Arabidopsis thaliana: one gene and its partner. The protein of the gene in region 1 interacts with the protein of each later gene in a pairwise test. Each region holds a gene or a part of one and is shown on either strand. Other genes may lie near its edges.

Evidence for each region. The genes of interacting proteins can lie anywhere in the genome.
Region 2: the proteins of TIFY10B (region 1) and AT4G00870 interact in a two-hybrid assay, tested with the Arabidopsis thaliana proteins (one study listed by BioGRID).

The regions. Positions count from the first base shown.
Region 1 is NC_003070.9:28,146,944-28,154,568, forward strand, and holds TIFY10B (TIFY domain/Divergent CCT motif family protein), read right to left. Parts: upstream 3,504-7,625; 5' UTR 3,316-3,503; coding exon 3,168-3,315; intron 2,849-3,167; coding exon 2,671-2,848; intron 2,579-2,670; coding exon 2,301-2,578; intron 2,214-2,300; coding exon 2,156-2,213; coding exon of another isoform or gene 2,152-2,155; exon of another isoform or gene 2,064-2,151; coding exon 1,976-2,063; 3' UTR 1,632-1,975; downstream 1-1,631. Other genes in the region: AT1G74940 (cyclin-dependent kinase, putative (DUF581)), read left to right, coding at 1-122; FAB1 (fatty acid biosynthesis 1), read right to left, coding at 5,621-5,737, 5,847-5,906, 6,030-6,110, 6,186-6,340, 6,450-6,534, 6,672-6,740, 6,976-7,055, 7,146-7,191 and 2 more. UniProt on the Arabidopsis thaliana protein: Repressor of jasmonate responses. Jasmonoyl-isoleucine (JA-Ile) specifically promotes COI1-TIFY10B/JAZ2 interaction. Activated by MYC2, MYC3 and MYC4 transcription factors.
Region 2 is NC_003075.7:359,207-366,921, forward strand, and holds AT4G00870 (basic helix-loop-helix (bHLH) DNA-binding superfamily protein), read right to left. Parts: upstream 4,504-7,715; 5' UTR 4,434-4,503; coding exon 4,173-4,433; intron 4,035-4,172; coding exon 3,024-4,034; 3' UTR 2,727-3,023; downstream 1-2,726. Other genes in the region: ATOZI1 (monopolar spindle protein (DUF1138)), read right to left, coding at 342-487, 566-662; AT4G00872 (Plant invertase/pectin methylesterase inhibitor superfamily protein), read right to left, coding at 4,941-5,235, 5,310-5,530; AT4G00880 (SAUR-like auxin-responsive protein family), read right to left, coding at 7,486-7,715; AT4G00883 (uncharacterized protein), read left to right, coding at 7,510-7,715.

The DNA of each region.
Region 1 (7,625 bases):
TGCAAATAATGAATGACGAACGACAAGAGCAATGTAAAACGCAAGTTTCAAGAAACGCCGACGTTTTGAGCTCTCCTTACGCCGCCGGACAGAGATTATCTGCCGGAGTATTCGTATTTTAGGATGATCACAATTCACAATAATACGAAGAGAAGTATATTTTATTTATATATAAAAAAAAAAGTGATCATCATTCCATTTTACCTTAATAGAAGAAAAAAGGTTAGAAAATAACAAAAAAAAAAAAAGTGAAATTTTTGGTTAGGTTAAAAAGCACATTGTATAGAAGTTTGCTTTTTGTTAACTTTTAATACCGAGTAATGTTTATGGCTTTTCCTCGGAATCACATAAATCAATAATCATTTCGTGAAATAGCTTTGTAGAACAAGTATGTATGTATATATGCCAATTTCTCAATTCCCTGTATCCAAAACATTGAATCAATCAATTGAAAATGTAAGATTGTGCAATACACATGTCTTTTTTTGTTTTTTCCACAAGTCTAAAACTTTGTGGCTAGAAGACTTGTTTGAATATGTTTACACTTTTTGATCAAAAATACAAAGTCCTGTGGGTTTACTTCTGTTTTATTTTAAAGAAAACGTTACCAATCAAAATATTTATAGAGGTATAAAATTAAAATTACGTTCAAAAATGTAATGTGTTGCTAATTTGCTATTACTCGAGTTCAGTTTCTTAATTACAAACAACTTAAATTATCTTTCAAAAAATAATAGAGAACGCGTACTATCATTTTAATGAAGAAACCAAAATAACGTTTTAATAAATTTAAGACTTGAAGAAACACAATTATGAGTTTTAAATCATTATGATTCTTAGTGCAATGTATGCACGTGGGCCCTTAAATATGCAACTTGTTGTATCCTGGCCCGTTGTCAGAAATTAATAAAAGATCCTTTTCCCCAACTAAAAAAACAATGATATTTTGGTAAAAACTTTAGTCCCTACCATTTTGAACAACTTTGATTAGATGAAGTCCGGGGCCGATTCTGTCCGATCCAAATTACGTAGTCTTGGCGATTTGTTAATGCTGAAAAATTCAGTTATTTTTTTCCAAATCGGATAAAATTGGATCTTAGGTTCTTCGGGCTTATTAATCATAACGAATTTCGGACCAGTCTTTGGACCAAATTTACGTTTTGTTAGTTGGATGATCATTGTTCAAGACCGAACAAATCATTGTTCAAGACCGAACGAAAAAAAGTTATCGTGGGTCAGAATTCCCGTGGCCTACCAAGCCTGGTCTGATCTACTCCACTTATTGGATATTTATGAAGCTCTTTTTATTATGGACTTCGGATATTTTACAAAGTTATAACTAGTATTTTGGGAAAAACAAAATTGTAACTGGCTTGGTATTTTAACCAAAAATAGTCTACATAGTTTGTGCCATGTATTTAACAACAAAACGAAAATGCTAATACTATAATGGATAGATAGGTTAAAACGTATTTTGAACAATAGCAGACTTGTTAAAGAAAATCTTTCACACGACAATACTTGATAGAAAATCATCATTTTTTAGACATTTCTTTATTTTCGAGAATGCTTTAAGTATTTCTGTTCCTTAACTGTAAGCTTCAGCTCTCAATAAGTGACGAACAAACAATCGGATTAAATAAACTTGGATTATATTAATGGCCATCAACACAAAAACACAAGTGATGTTTCTTACAAAAGTTGCAAGCTAATGTTGAGATCGGCAGAGGAAAGGGTTATACACACTGGCTAAAACTTAAACCCCAGAAGCAAACATTGAACACTATTGATATTGATTTCATACAAATATAATGAGTTTTCGGGGGAGTTAAACAAACAAAACTACTAGGGGTGAAATTAATCTATAGAAAAAATGAACAGAGGAGCAGCTTGATATTTGTAACGATGGAGCATCAGAAGAATCTTACAAGAAGGTCTCTCAAGTTGTGCCTTCTGGGTCGGACAGGCTCGAAGTTTACCGTGAACTGAGCCAAGCTGGGTTAGTAGGCTTGGAAGACGCTTCAGCTGAACCGTCTATTTGGTATGGTGCCTTTGATGTGATCCTGTTAAAGGTTTACGAGTAGGATATTGAGAAATTCGCTTAACAAGAACTTATGGAATAACAAGATATTATGTTTTCATTAAAATGCATTACCTATCCTTCCTCTTCTCAAGGAACCGATGAAGTGAAGCTCTTCTTGCAATCGGGAGTTCTACAAATCAAAAAGAGAGAAAGTTAGAGAAATAGGACTAAGCCAAGCTCAGAGATGGTTGAACCAAAAGAGGCTGAGATCAATTACCGCAGGCTAAAGAGGCCGGGTTAGGCTGAATTGGCTCTTGTGCTGCGGTTTTTGCAGGACTACAAACAGGATTTGGGCTAGAAGCAATCTCTTTTTGAGAATAAGCACTATGGTTATTGTTTACTTCAGCTGTGAAACATGTGAAGCTTTTGGCACTTCCTTTGTTAGCCAAATCAATGACTTCTTTAGCTTTCTCAGCAGAAAAATCATCAAACACCATAACTCGACCACCGTAGAATATAGTCAACGGAGCAGATTGAGACTCTGGCTTCACAGATCTGTTCAAAATCACACAAAAATTAGTTAAACTGATGAAACATAGCTTACTATATGAGACGATTCTTTTCACTATATACATATAAACACATACTTAGTAGTCTCTTTGATCATCTGTACATCTTCTTTGGTCCCAGAGGAAGAGGAAGAAGAAAAGCTTGATTGTCTCGGAAACATAGTCTTCGGTTTAATGTCTTCTTGACCAGCAGAAGAATCCATTCCTGAAGCTTCACAAGGGAACAGATTCATCATTGTAGGCTGACGTGAACCTCCTGCGAAAATTGATCCAAAAGTAAAGATTATTATCATTCACCAATCTCTCAAACAACTGCAAAACAAAATCTACTTAATGACTAAACCAGGCCTATGGCTTTAGAGGATTATGCTTAAACCAAACACAGAACCATCTCCACAAATTCATACACATACATACATATATAGAAATTGATTCAAAATCCATTAATCATCGATTCTCTACAACGATTCAATTTCCAGACAACATGTAATCGATTCATAATTCGTAATTCGCAACAGGAAACTCAAAATTCGCAGAAACGAAATGAACAGATCTAAAAGAGAAAGGTTGATTACCATTAACGTCGGGCTTGCATGTCATCCCTAAGCTCAGATCTCCAAAACTACCCTTCTCCTTCAGGTAACGACTCAATCGAGTACATGTTTGTGAAAAGCTCGGTTTACGACCAGAGAAGTCCCAACACTCGGCAGAAAAACTCGACATCGTTGAAACCGAAATTGAAATCGTTTCGATTGAGAAATTGGAGCAAAAGGATCTTCCTTCCTGAGTTGTTGAATTTTCTCGAATCTTATAAAAAAACTTAGGGTTCTTGTTTATCTTTCTCTGCCAAGTGCGTTTTGTCACGAGGAAGAAATGGAGGACCTCTTTATTACTTTTTTTTCGCTGGTTGCAGATACGGAAATTAGTAAAATATACTCTTATAGTATTAATTAACATAGAGACATTTAAAACACGTGTTTTAATTTAATGTTTTAACGGCAGACCACTGTTTCAGATCACCACCGTCACCCACGTCCCCACGCTTCACACTTGAAATAACCATTTCACCCTCTTACTACTCCTGTTTTTACCATTTTACCCTTACAAGATGTTCAAATAAAATAAAAAATTATGAAAACGTAAAATCCTAAAATTAATTAGTTCAAACAAATCAATGTTCAGATGAAATTTGATTATGATAGTCTTTCAGTTATACCATTTAGTTGGTTCATATATCCTTTTTTTTAAGATGAATCTCTTGGCATTAATTTATGTATTTTTAGCACTATTAATTAGTCTACTATTTTAATCTCATAGACCGGCGTGATATTTTAGCACTCAAAGAGAATTAACGGTATGATTTGGGGGAAAAAAGAGGATTAACGGCGTTAGATAGAGGGAACACGGTGTGGGTCTTACATAACCAAAACTCCACCACCAATGCAAATTTGATCCATAAATCACGTTTTGTATTTTCCCTTTTATTAATTTTTTTTTAGTGTTTTATTTATGACAACAGTAATAAATAATTACAAAAAGCGGGAAGAGCACGTCTCCTCCATGAATCGCGACCTTACACGTGTCTAACTTAACTGCCCACATTTGAGAGAATTTTTCTTGTTGGTGTCGTAGTCAGAGTAATCACCTGTTACGCGGCTTATATAGCAGCTGTGTTCTCCTACGCACAATAGCCGTTGATCCTATCACTCTGTCTTTTATTCTCTTGTTATTATCCCATGCGTTTGTTAGGAACACACAAATAAGTTTGATTTTCTTTTATAACGTAACGTCCAACTTGTTATTTTATTGACTTGGATTGTAGTAATTGCTAACTCATTACAGGTACATCGAGATAACGTAAGGTTCATAGAGTGGCTCGTGAGAAAATAAGGATGATTGGTTAATTTGGTTTTTAACTGTTTTATAAACATCTTCACAAAATTTTATACATCACAAACATATCCATAAGAAACAAAATCAGAAGAAGCTGCAGGTACATACAATTACAAGGAAGAGGGGTCACAAGAAGAACCCAGAGCGCATAAAGACATCAAAGTCTGGATATTATTTAGAGTATGCAACCAAAAAGAAGAAGGCAAGTGGGGTGGTCACAAAAATGCAAGATAGAGGTCACAAGAAGAATAGAAGAACATAAGCTAATTAAGGAATAGTACTCTATATTCCTGTTTTTACTGTAGAAACTTTATCTACTTATGGCTCTCTTATACAAGGCTGATTGATACCCTTTTAGCCATGTTTTTATACTTGCTCTTGGTTTTCACAGCTGATTCATTCCTCTTCTTTCTTTCACATATTTAACAGAAAATAAGCTTACATATGAAAGTGGTAAAACATTGGGCCCTTGGAATATATTTTTTTAGTTTTTACCTTTCAAAAGATGATTTAGTTACTCTCTATATATGTAATTAACAAAGGGAAAACTGTCAAGAGCTACTAAATTTAAAATTGAGAATTGATTTGGCATTTTTTGAGATTTCATGTTAAACAATAGAAATGTAAAGACTACAAAGATTTCCAATAAGAAGGTATCACAAGAAACAGAATTTTAATGGCGAATCCAAACTCTGATATCTCTAGCACGTTTTAGCTCCTGTCCAAGTCTTTGGCTCATCAGATCTTGATCCTAAGAAACTTAGCTTAGCTCTTGGTAGTTGAACAAACTCTGTTGATTCCCTCGACGTAACACTAGCATAACATGGGAAACTTCTTGTAAAACACTGCACATAATTTAAACACTCAGCTTCATAACAAATTCTTAGTCCATCCCAAATCATTTTAGAGCATTTCTGGACCGACAATACTTCAAAGGGAACTTGCACAAACTTCCAATTCATTATTGCCAATGATCCATCTCAGCCAAAGTAATAAATATAGAAAGGTCAAAAGAGTTAACTGTCCTTCAATTCCTCTAAGAATCTGATGATACACAAATGTACAATGGATGTAACTTTTTACCTTACAGCAAGTTATACAATCAGGTTTGGAGTACAAGCAACTGCTTTCGCTTTCACTTGTAAGGAGCAAAAATGATGCTGGAGTTATGACCACCAAACCCGAATGAATTTGACAAGGCTGCTTTAATGTCCAGTCTCTCCTTCTTAGGACCCACCAGCAGCTTTGTATCCTGCTCCAATTTCATTTCACAGTACGATTATTAAAACTCCCAAGAGTTTTTTTTTACGAACATTAAAAGGTCTTTGTATAGGTATTGAACTCATATGAAACTAACATACCACTCCACTGTCTGGATTCTCGAGGTTGATATTTGGATGAACCCATCCGGTCCGTATCGCCTGTAGATAGCAACAGAATATTAACATTAAAAATGCGAAGATTGCACATAATTTCGCTCTATGCTAAAACTTGGTTTCAACAACACTTCCTTCCTTGTAGATACACCGAGTCAAATGAGTTACCTGCACAGTTGCAACAGCCTCCACGGCCCCAGCAGCTCCCAGCAAGTGTCCAATCATAGATTTTGTGGAATTTACCTTAAGCTGCCACATCGAGAAAGATCAAGAAAAGCACATAAAAAGGCACTTCGGAATTTTGTAACAAAGAACTGAAGCTACCTCAGGATTTTGGCCAAAACAGTGAGCAAGGGCTTGGTATTCCTTAATATCTCCAGCATGCGTTGAGGTTGCATGTGCATTTATGTAATTTATTTGTTCCTTGGAAATCCCAGCACTAGCTAACGCTCTCTCAATACAGAGAATAACACCAGCCCCTGCGGATTTAAGAAAAATGGGATAATGACAAAAAAATTATAGAAAAAAGAGATTTCAAATTTGTAGTTGACTAGCAGACTAATATAAATTAGGGGAAAATGAAACTACCATCAGGGTGAGGCTCGGTCATGTGATAGGCATCACATGTGAAACTCCCACCGAGGAACTCTGCGTAGATAGTTGCACCTCTTTTCTGAAAGAAAAGCAGAATACTTATGTTCTCACAACTCGTTCCATAGCAAGCAATAAAAAAAGCTTTGGATATAAGTTTCTTTTGTGATTTAAAAATGGGAAACAAGAAATGACAGAAAGAACGAATAAGTTATATACCTTAGCATGCTCGAGTTCTTCCAAAAGTAGAACTCCAGCTCCCTCTCCCATCACGAAACCATCTCGATTCTGTCATGCAATCAAGACCAGGTTAACAAAACAAGAAGAATTTCCAAACATAATACGCACGTTTCCTCACACTTTCTTTCCTACAACATTACAATGTAAGGGAAATTCCTGTTGGCAAAAACTCGATACAGTGTTTCTAGCATCCACCAAGATTAAAACAAAACCATAGAAGGGTACTAAAACATGCAAGTAACAAAAGGAATAGAAGACAAGACACGAAATTGTTTAAACTTACGGTATCCCAAGGACGTGAAGCTTTTGTGGGATCATTATTCCTTTGTGAAAGAGCCCGGCATGCAACAAAACCTCCCAACCCTGCATTGGTACACATACGATACGATTTCACGTCGCTTAAATTTCAAGAATAGATGGGACAATGTAAAATATAAGAGAACGAGTTAGCACCTATTGGAATAATAACTGCATCTGAGCCACCACAGAGCATTACATCCTGAAAAGTTTAGTGGAAAGACAAACAGTCTATAAGTAGAAACAGAGGAAGTCTACCAAACTGTCGAATTTCCAAGTGTATGGAGGATACTTACAGCTTCACCTTTAATAATGTGGTTTGCTGAATTCAGAATGCAAAAGTTGCTTGTGGCACAAGCAGTTGAAATAGAATAGTTTGGCCCCATCCATCCCTGATACATGACCACAAAATAAAAAGGGTCAGTACTAAATTGCTGGTGGTCATCCATAATATATTAAGAGCATTTCAAATTTAATCAGACCAGATCCATGGCAAGCATAGCAGAACCCATGTTTGTTGTCGCAAAAGGTACACAAAAAGGATTCATCTTCTTGTAAGAGATTCTCAGAGCTTCAATAGCATCGTAAAAGACCTGTATTATTATAAGATTATTAGAAATGCAACGATTCGCAACA
Region 2 (7,715 bases), on another chromosome or scaffold:
CCAGGTTTGTGTGATAATTAATTCCAAGGCTTGAGATGAAAAGTAACAGTTTTAAAAATGTTTACAGAATCAGCGATAACAAAATTCCAAACCAAACAAACCAATAATGTCTTAGAAGTTTTTCTTTTTGGCTCGATTTCATTTATCGTCAAAATCAACAAACCTTACAAAAGTTATGCATCGGGGAAAAGCTTGATCCGAATAATGTGTTACGCATCAACACAAATTATTACTATAACCAGCTAGAGCAATCAGCCGATCCTCAAATCAAACACAAAAGAGCAGATATTCGAAAATGAATCCATAACGAATGAGAACGATGCACGAGAAGGCATCAAAAGTTATTCAGGACGTGACTTGACGATGAAATTCTGGCGACTGATAGGGTTCATGACGACGGGAGGACCAGCAACTCTTGGCCATGCTTGTAATCTCTCTTCAGTCGCAGCACCCCATTCCTTGTTAGTAATAGTTCCTGGTGTAGTACCTGAGAGTTCAAAACAAACCAAACCAAATTTAGCTTTCTGGATACATCATAAGTAGCTTTATAAGGTTTAAAACTTGCCTCCAAAAAGCTTATCATCAGAAATAACTTTGTCACACACGTAAGCTACTACCGCAGATCCCGCAAGGGCACCGATAATGTATGTAGCTCTCGACATCCTTAACCTGAAGTACATAGATATATCAAACATAATCAAGCCACACAAAAGGAGAAAACGAACTTATATCAGATTATAGCTATAGTGTATAGTGGGATTGAAATGAAGTTTCAAGGCATATTCAACCCTAATCAAGCCAATACAATCACATAAAACCATTAGATAATTAAGCTGCTGAATCAAACAATTCAATTCAATTATAGAAGACACAAATCAATAAAAGCATCTGAATGGTGAATTTTTTCACACAATCGATAAAAAAACCGATCTAAGAAACTCACTGCTACCAACAAATCTCGTTTTATTCTTCCTAATCGCGCTAAATAACATATCATCTGCTAGTTTCGAGTTTTGTTTCAGATAACGATTCATAGATCTCGTGAGGACCCAAAAATCGAAACAAAAGGTGAATAAACTACACAGACGACTAACAACAACAACAAATTTATCAAATAGATCTGATAGAATCGGTATTTCACAAAACAAGCATCGATTCGAGAAGAGTGATTTACCTGAATCGATTTCACAGACACGGAGAGGCGCAGGAAATTTTCGAGAAGAATCTCGTTGGTAGATTTTTAGGGAGGAATAGAAGAAATAGCGATTTACGTTTCTCGTCAAACTTGAAATGACCCAAAAGGGGTTTCCGATTGTGGTGTACAAATATTGGGCCATTATGGGCCCATTTCGTTTATGAGATTTTACTCCTAATTGGGCCACACTTGACTATTGGCCCATCTTAATACAAATCATTTCTTTGGGTTAATGAAGATAAAACTTTTTATGAGATTTTATACCAGATTGGGCCATACATGACTATTGGCCAAGCTAAAACAAATCATTTCTTTTGGGGTTAATGAAGATAAATCTTTTTAAACGGATTAAATTTTCTTAAAACAAAGCTTAGAATATATACAGTCAAAAATCTATAAATTAATATTCAATAAATTAATATCTCATTAAATTAATAATTTTCTTCCGTTCTCAAATTGATATTTTAGCCCAAATATTGTCTCTATAAATTAATAAACATGATAATTTATAGAGGTTTTACTGATTAAATTACAATTGCTATTTCAATTTGTAAAAATATTAAGAGTTCCTTTTGAATGACTTTGCTCAAAACGAGGTTTTAGAAAGTGCTAAAGCCTAAAGCTTCAAATGCACATAACACCAATATTTATTCTGCACGCATAAGATTTCTAAAATGATTTCAGTTGTTTTTCTTATTGCGTTTTAAAAACTTACAGTCTATTTATAAAGTGAAACATCTATAAAGAAGAAGAAGACAAACACGTATTTATTGTTAATATTTTTTTTTGTTGTTGAGTACCATATTAACCTAGAAGTTGGAACCGGGCATAATTTTTGCATGTGGCCATTTTTCATGTGATTTACCTATCAGTAAATTTTTGCATAACCGTTACATCGTTGCAGCAGGATTGAAGAAGGGATCATGTGAAAGATAACTGTTTCTGACTTTCTGTCAAAGAAACTTAATCTTAAGGTCGAAACTATATTGTATCATAGGTTATGTATACATAGACACATGATAGTTTGTTGCATAACATATTTTAATTTCTTTTAGAAAAACATAAAACCATGATCATCAAATAAAACAAAACATTTTTGTCTCATTAAGTAAATGCAAAATTGTTTAGTTCTGTTTTATATGTGAATGTTAGATACAGAATGATTACTTTTTCAAGCACAAAAACATTTTTTGCAATTAGTAATTAGCAAACAAAATAAGAAAGATACAATTCAATTGCATTATTGTACCCTTTTCTTCTCTTTGCATTATTGTACCACTTTTTTTTCTCAACATTATTGTACCCTTTATTTTTCTGTGCATTGTACTAATATTTTTTCCCCAAATTAACCAATCAGTGTCTTAATATAACAGTACGTCCAAGAATAATTAATATAAAGCATTGGTAGTTCATTACGTAATTGACTTGATTTGTTAGCAAGCTATCACTGAAGAGTGGTCCTAAATATTATAGGACAAGCGTGTGTGTGTCTATAATTCCTCCGTCTTCTCTATGGTTTTCAAACTAATATTTCCAAATGATCAATTAATGAGTTGTTTCTTTTAAAATATACAGTCTCTATATTGTTTTAGTAAGACAATATACCAAACACTTTGCGCTTTTAGCGAGCTAGTACGTACGTACGAGAAATAAAGTAAAAAAGTAACACATAAACTACGTATCAACGAGATCAAACTTTTGATAAAACAACATTAATCGCTAGAAGGAATTTGATTTTTCTAGTACTTATCAAATAAAACAAAAGGTCGCAAAAAAAAACAAAAATTATTATCACATCCTATGTTGACGTCACAAAACAAAGAAATTGTTATAGGCTTAGGGTTCGGACAAGTGTGGTCCTAAGCCTATCTTCCGATCTTAATCCTTCTGGAACCAAAACAACAACATCTTGAACCATAACCTGACTCAAGCGCGACGCGTTCGCGTGTTGTACACGACAATCCATTTCCATTAACGCACTCATCAATGCCGACGTAGGATGGTTCACATTCTCTGTCTGAACCCTAATTATGGCTTCTTCTCCGACGATCTTCACTTGCACTTCCAAGTCAGAGCCTCTGTTTGATTTTGAAGGTTTCTGGTTAACTTGGTACTCAACGGAAGACGGAGACGTATTGCTGCTGCTGTTGTCTAATTTATCTGTCTCCGTCATCTTCATTTTCTTGATCTCAGTTTCGAGATCATCGATTTTGGATTTAAGACTTTCTATGTACGAAACTGCGTCGGATAAAAGTGACGCTTTGTCCATTCGTGACACTTTTGGTACGATGGCACGTAGAGCGTAAAACCGGTGGTTTAGCTTCTCTCTCCGTTGCTTCTCCGCTTCCACGTGGGACAAAACCGCCGGATGATGTTTCTCTTTCGTCGCCGCAGCTACCCTTGTCGTCTCAAGTTTCCTCCTCCGTTTTCTTTCCGACCCGAATTGCTGATTTCCGCTTTTCGAATGATCTGATACCGCCGGTTTAGGGTAAGAACCGGTTTGGTTAGTGTGTTTTGTTGTTTTACCCGACCCGAATATGGACTTGACTCGGTTTATAAAGTTCCGGTTTTGTATAATTGATTCAGACGAACCAAGTTCGATAATGCCATTGTTGATGGGTATGGAGACCAATGTGTGTACCCCGTGAAAACCGGCTTCTTTAGCCCTCTCGTAGTTGCTAAACCGGAGCTCGTCGGGACCGGTTAACCAAACCAAAGATTCATCGGATACTTCCTTTCTCGGCGATCTATCTTCACCGTAAAACGATGCGGCATAGAACAACTCCAGATCATCTCCACCGTCCATCATCAGCTCACACTCGATGCTGTTTGTTGTATACTTAAGAAAGAAACAAAAACAAAAAATCAAGGGTAAGGAAAATTATATTATTTTCTTAATAGAACTTTTTTAAGAAGTTGATTTAAATAAATTTTGGATATTTTGATTAGATAACATAAGAGGCAAAGAAAAATGAACATTTTCTTGGGAATTGTTGTTCTTGTTTCCACAGAAATGACCATCAACCCAAACCAAGTAAGACCGGTCCGATTGATCATCAAACATCTTTTGCCAAAAAATGACATAAGCCCATCGGTCCGGTGAGGTTTCCACGACAAACCGGAGTTTTTGTTGAAGTACTAAATCCGGAGGAGAAGAGGACACTATGGCTGCAGGAGTTTGTTGTGTAAAAGAGAGCAAAGAAGAGGACAATGATGGAGAGAAAGTGAGATTATACATTTCTTTCCAGTGATCCCGACCAAAGAGAATTTAGAGGGTTAGAGAAGACAAGTGGAAAAGGATGAATAAGATTCTAAATTAATAGAGAAGACGATATTATAGTAGTAATATCAAATTTTCATTAATGATTTTCGTGAATTAAAGTTTATGATAAATATTCCAATAGTAGTAAGTTAGTCACGTGAAAACTGAACTGTTTTCCTACTTTAACGTTATAAGAACAACAATTTATCGTATAGTGGTCCAACTTTGATGAAATAGACAATATATCATTCTTTGCCAAAAAAAAAAAAAAAAAAAAGACAATATATCATTTAGATTTATATTGAATGATGGTTCAAACGAAAACTTATTTTGACAAATTTGAAAAGAAAAAAAAAACATGAGAGCTACAACAAATGGATATATGTGACTTTATAAATTTCATAAAGGAAATGATTTATTCAAATTGGGGTAAGCATTGATCGAAGTTGAGTTATATAGAAAACAATAAGGAGTTATTACTTATTAGAAGCGATCAATGATCCTCATAGCAGCGTCAGAGAGTTGAGCATAGATATTGATTTGACTAAATAGTTGGGGAGACGTGAACTTGACACGTTTGAGATTGAACATACATCTCAGAGGAAAGCCAAGCGCAAGCTTTATCGATTTGTTGGTTTTATCATAATCACCGGTTTTCAAACTTGTTTTGGCTTCCGACAGTATTGTAGATGCATTCGTCGACAAGTCTTTTTTGCAAATCTCCAGAGCTGTTTTCACTTCACCTTTATCTTTCTTTGACGATAAATTCGTTATGTTACTACACAAATGAAAAAATTGATATATTAGAGGATATTTCTGTATATTGGTTATAATTTGTAAGTGAAAACTTGCTTGGTGATGATATGGAGGTGGGATTCAAGACAGTTTATGACGATGCCAGCTATGCCTATATGGTCGGCGTGAATGGAGTTTGGGTCGGATTCAAGACATTGCATGCATATGGCTGGGACGTCTGCATTGTGGCATTCATTTATCATCATGTCCTTCTCGGCGCATATCGACATAGGAGAGATCACCAGTATTAACAGCAGAAACTTGATCATCGTTTTCATGCTAAGTATGATTGATTATAGACTATATTTCTTTTTAAGGGGTGTGAATTACTTATATAAACTAAGAATATGGTTGGTCATGACTCATGAGTGATCTCTTTTACATTACACGTGTTTAACGTCTTTAATTTTACCTTTAAAACTGACCATTGAAATGCAAATTGATGTCTTATTTTACTTCATTTGGGTAGAAAAGCAGATTATAGTTCTCTTTTTGAATTATAATTTATACATTTTCTTACTCCATTCAATAATATTATGATCTATTACCCTTTAGTTTATGTTTTAAGTTTTTTTAATACATTTATGGATATTATTAGACATATAAACAATATAATAATTAAGATGTTTTGGCTTAGAACCTCCTAGTATTAAAAAAAAAAGTAGGGTAATTAATGATGTTTTTTCTTAAAACAATAACTAAAAGTAAGTAAAAGTTTTTTTTTTGTTAATTTTAAATTTTACTAATTGTAAGTAGGTAATAATAAAATTTAAATAAATTAGTGTAATTGTTTTTTTTTATATATACTTAGCTGAATACTTCCGTAAACATGTTTATAATACAAAAGCCCAATTTTGGCCCATAAACTTATAAAACATGGGTTTTTTTTTGTCGTTATAAAACATGGTTTTAGTTCACGAAGAATAATATATTCCTACCGCATCTAATCTATTAAACAAAATCACGTTATTGTATTTGGTAGTGAGTGTTGTTATTCTGGCCATACAAATGGTCAAAAGCCTCTCGTCCATTTCTTTCCATTTTCAAGATTCTTCAATCCATCATTATTTTGCTTTACTTATAAAGAATCGTACGAAAAATTATAATCGAAATAAAGTTTCGAATATACGTACTTCAAACAAAATTAAGAGGAGAAGACCACTGCACAATTGCATATTTATGGTAGATTTTGCTTCACTTTTTTTTGCAAGTGTATGATTAAAGTTTTTCTAACATATCATGAGGTTGTTATTTTTGTGACCGTAAAGATTTAATGAACAACAATTGCGTAGACAACAATGTTGATCAGATGAATTTATAGATTTAGCGAATAAATTTCTTAACTTAATCATTCATTTACAGGAACTTCGTTTTCACATATCTTTATGAACGGAAACGTAACATAGAAGTTATATTGATGAATGGTGGTATATATGTGAAATAACCACTAAATTACTTTCTTCTCCAAATGATTAACCTGTTGTAGAATAGTTTGGCAAAGCCGATAGAATCAGTCCATTGGCCTCCAGTGAAAGGCTTCCACTTTTGAAGTTTTTATAAATTTTCATTGCCAAATTTCATCTTTTGTAACTCACTTTGGAGGAACTTCAAAATCTTGTATCACTTTATCTTTTTCTCTAACATTGTTTGCTTCATAGCATACGTTGAGTCGACAAACTGATTGTTTTTCCTTCCATGTTTTAATCCTTTTTTTTTGCCATAAGACCAAGTCTATAAGTCTAAAATATATAACTGTAAACCTAAACATTTTTATTCTTATGAATATTTACATTTTAGCAACAAAAAACCTGAACTAAAGTGATTTTTAAAATAAAAATGATTTTTAAAATAAAAATGGAAAAATGTAAAATTACTTTCTTCTCCAAATCATTAATAAAATTATAAAATTTCAATTGACAAGTCAACTCATAGAAGAGATTGAGTATAGTAAATAACTAAATATTAATTGTTCAACATACATATTATTTTAATATTATTACAAGATGATGATTTTCTATTTTTATGATCGGGCATAAGCGTACAATTAATCATCATGAGACATATATATATATATATATATATATATGAACAACAACAACAACAACAACAACAACAACAACAACAACAACAACAACAAGCCACACCTTAAGATAAGATGAAATGAAGACCGAGATTTATTTATAATCAGCAGCATGAGATAATATCTAGTTTAAAAAGAGCCAAAACAATATCATCAAACCCTAAAACACCGGATGAGATGGTTGTGATGATGATGGTGATGATCAAGGAGATTAGTACCGAGAAATCTAGTGTTTTCTCGATCGATCAATCCTTGAACATACCTAAACTCCTCAACGTGACAAGGGATCGTGATTGTCCCTTTTTGAGCAAAACCAAACTCTTCTTCAGCTTCCTTCAAGAGTTGTCCAAACAAAGGATGATTAAAGTACATAACGGGAATCA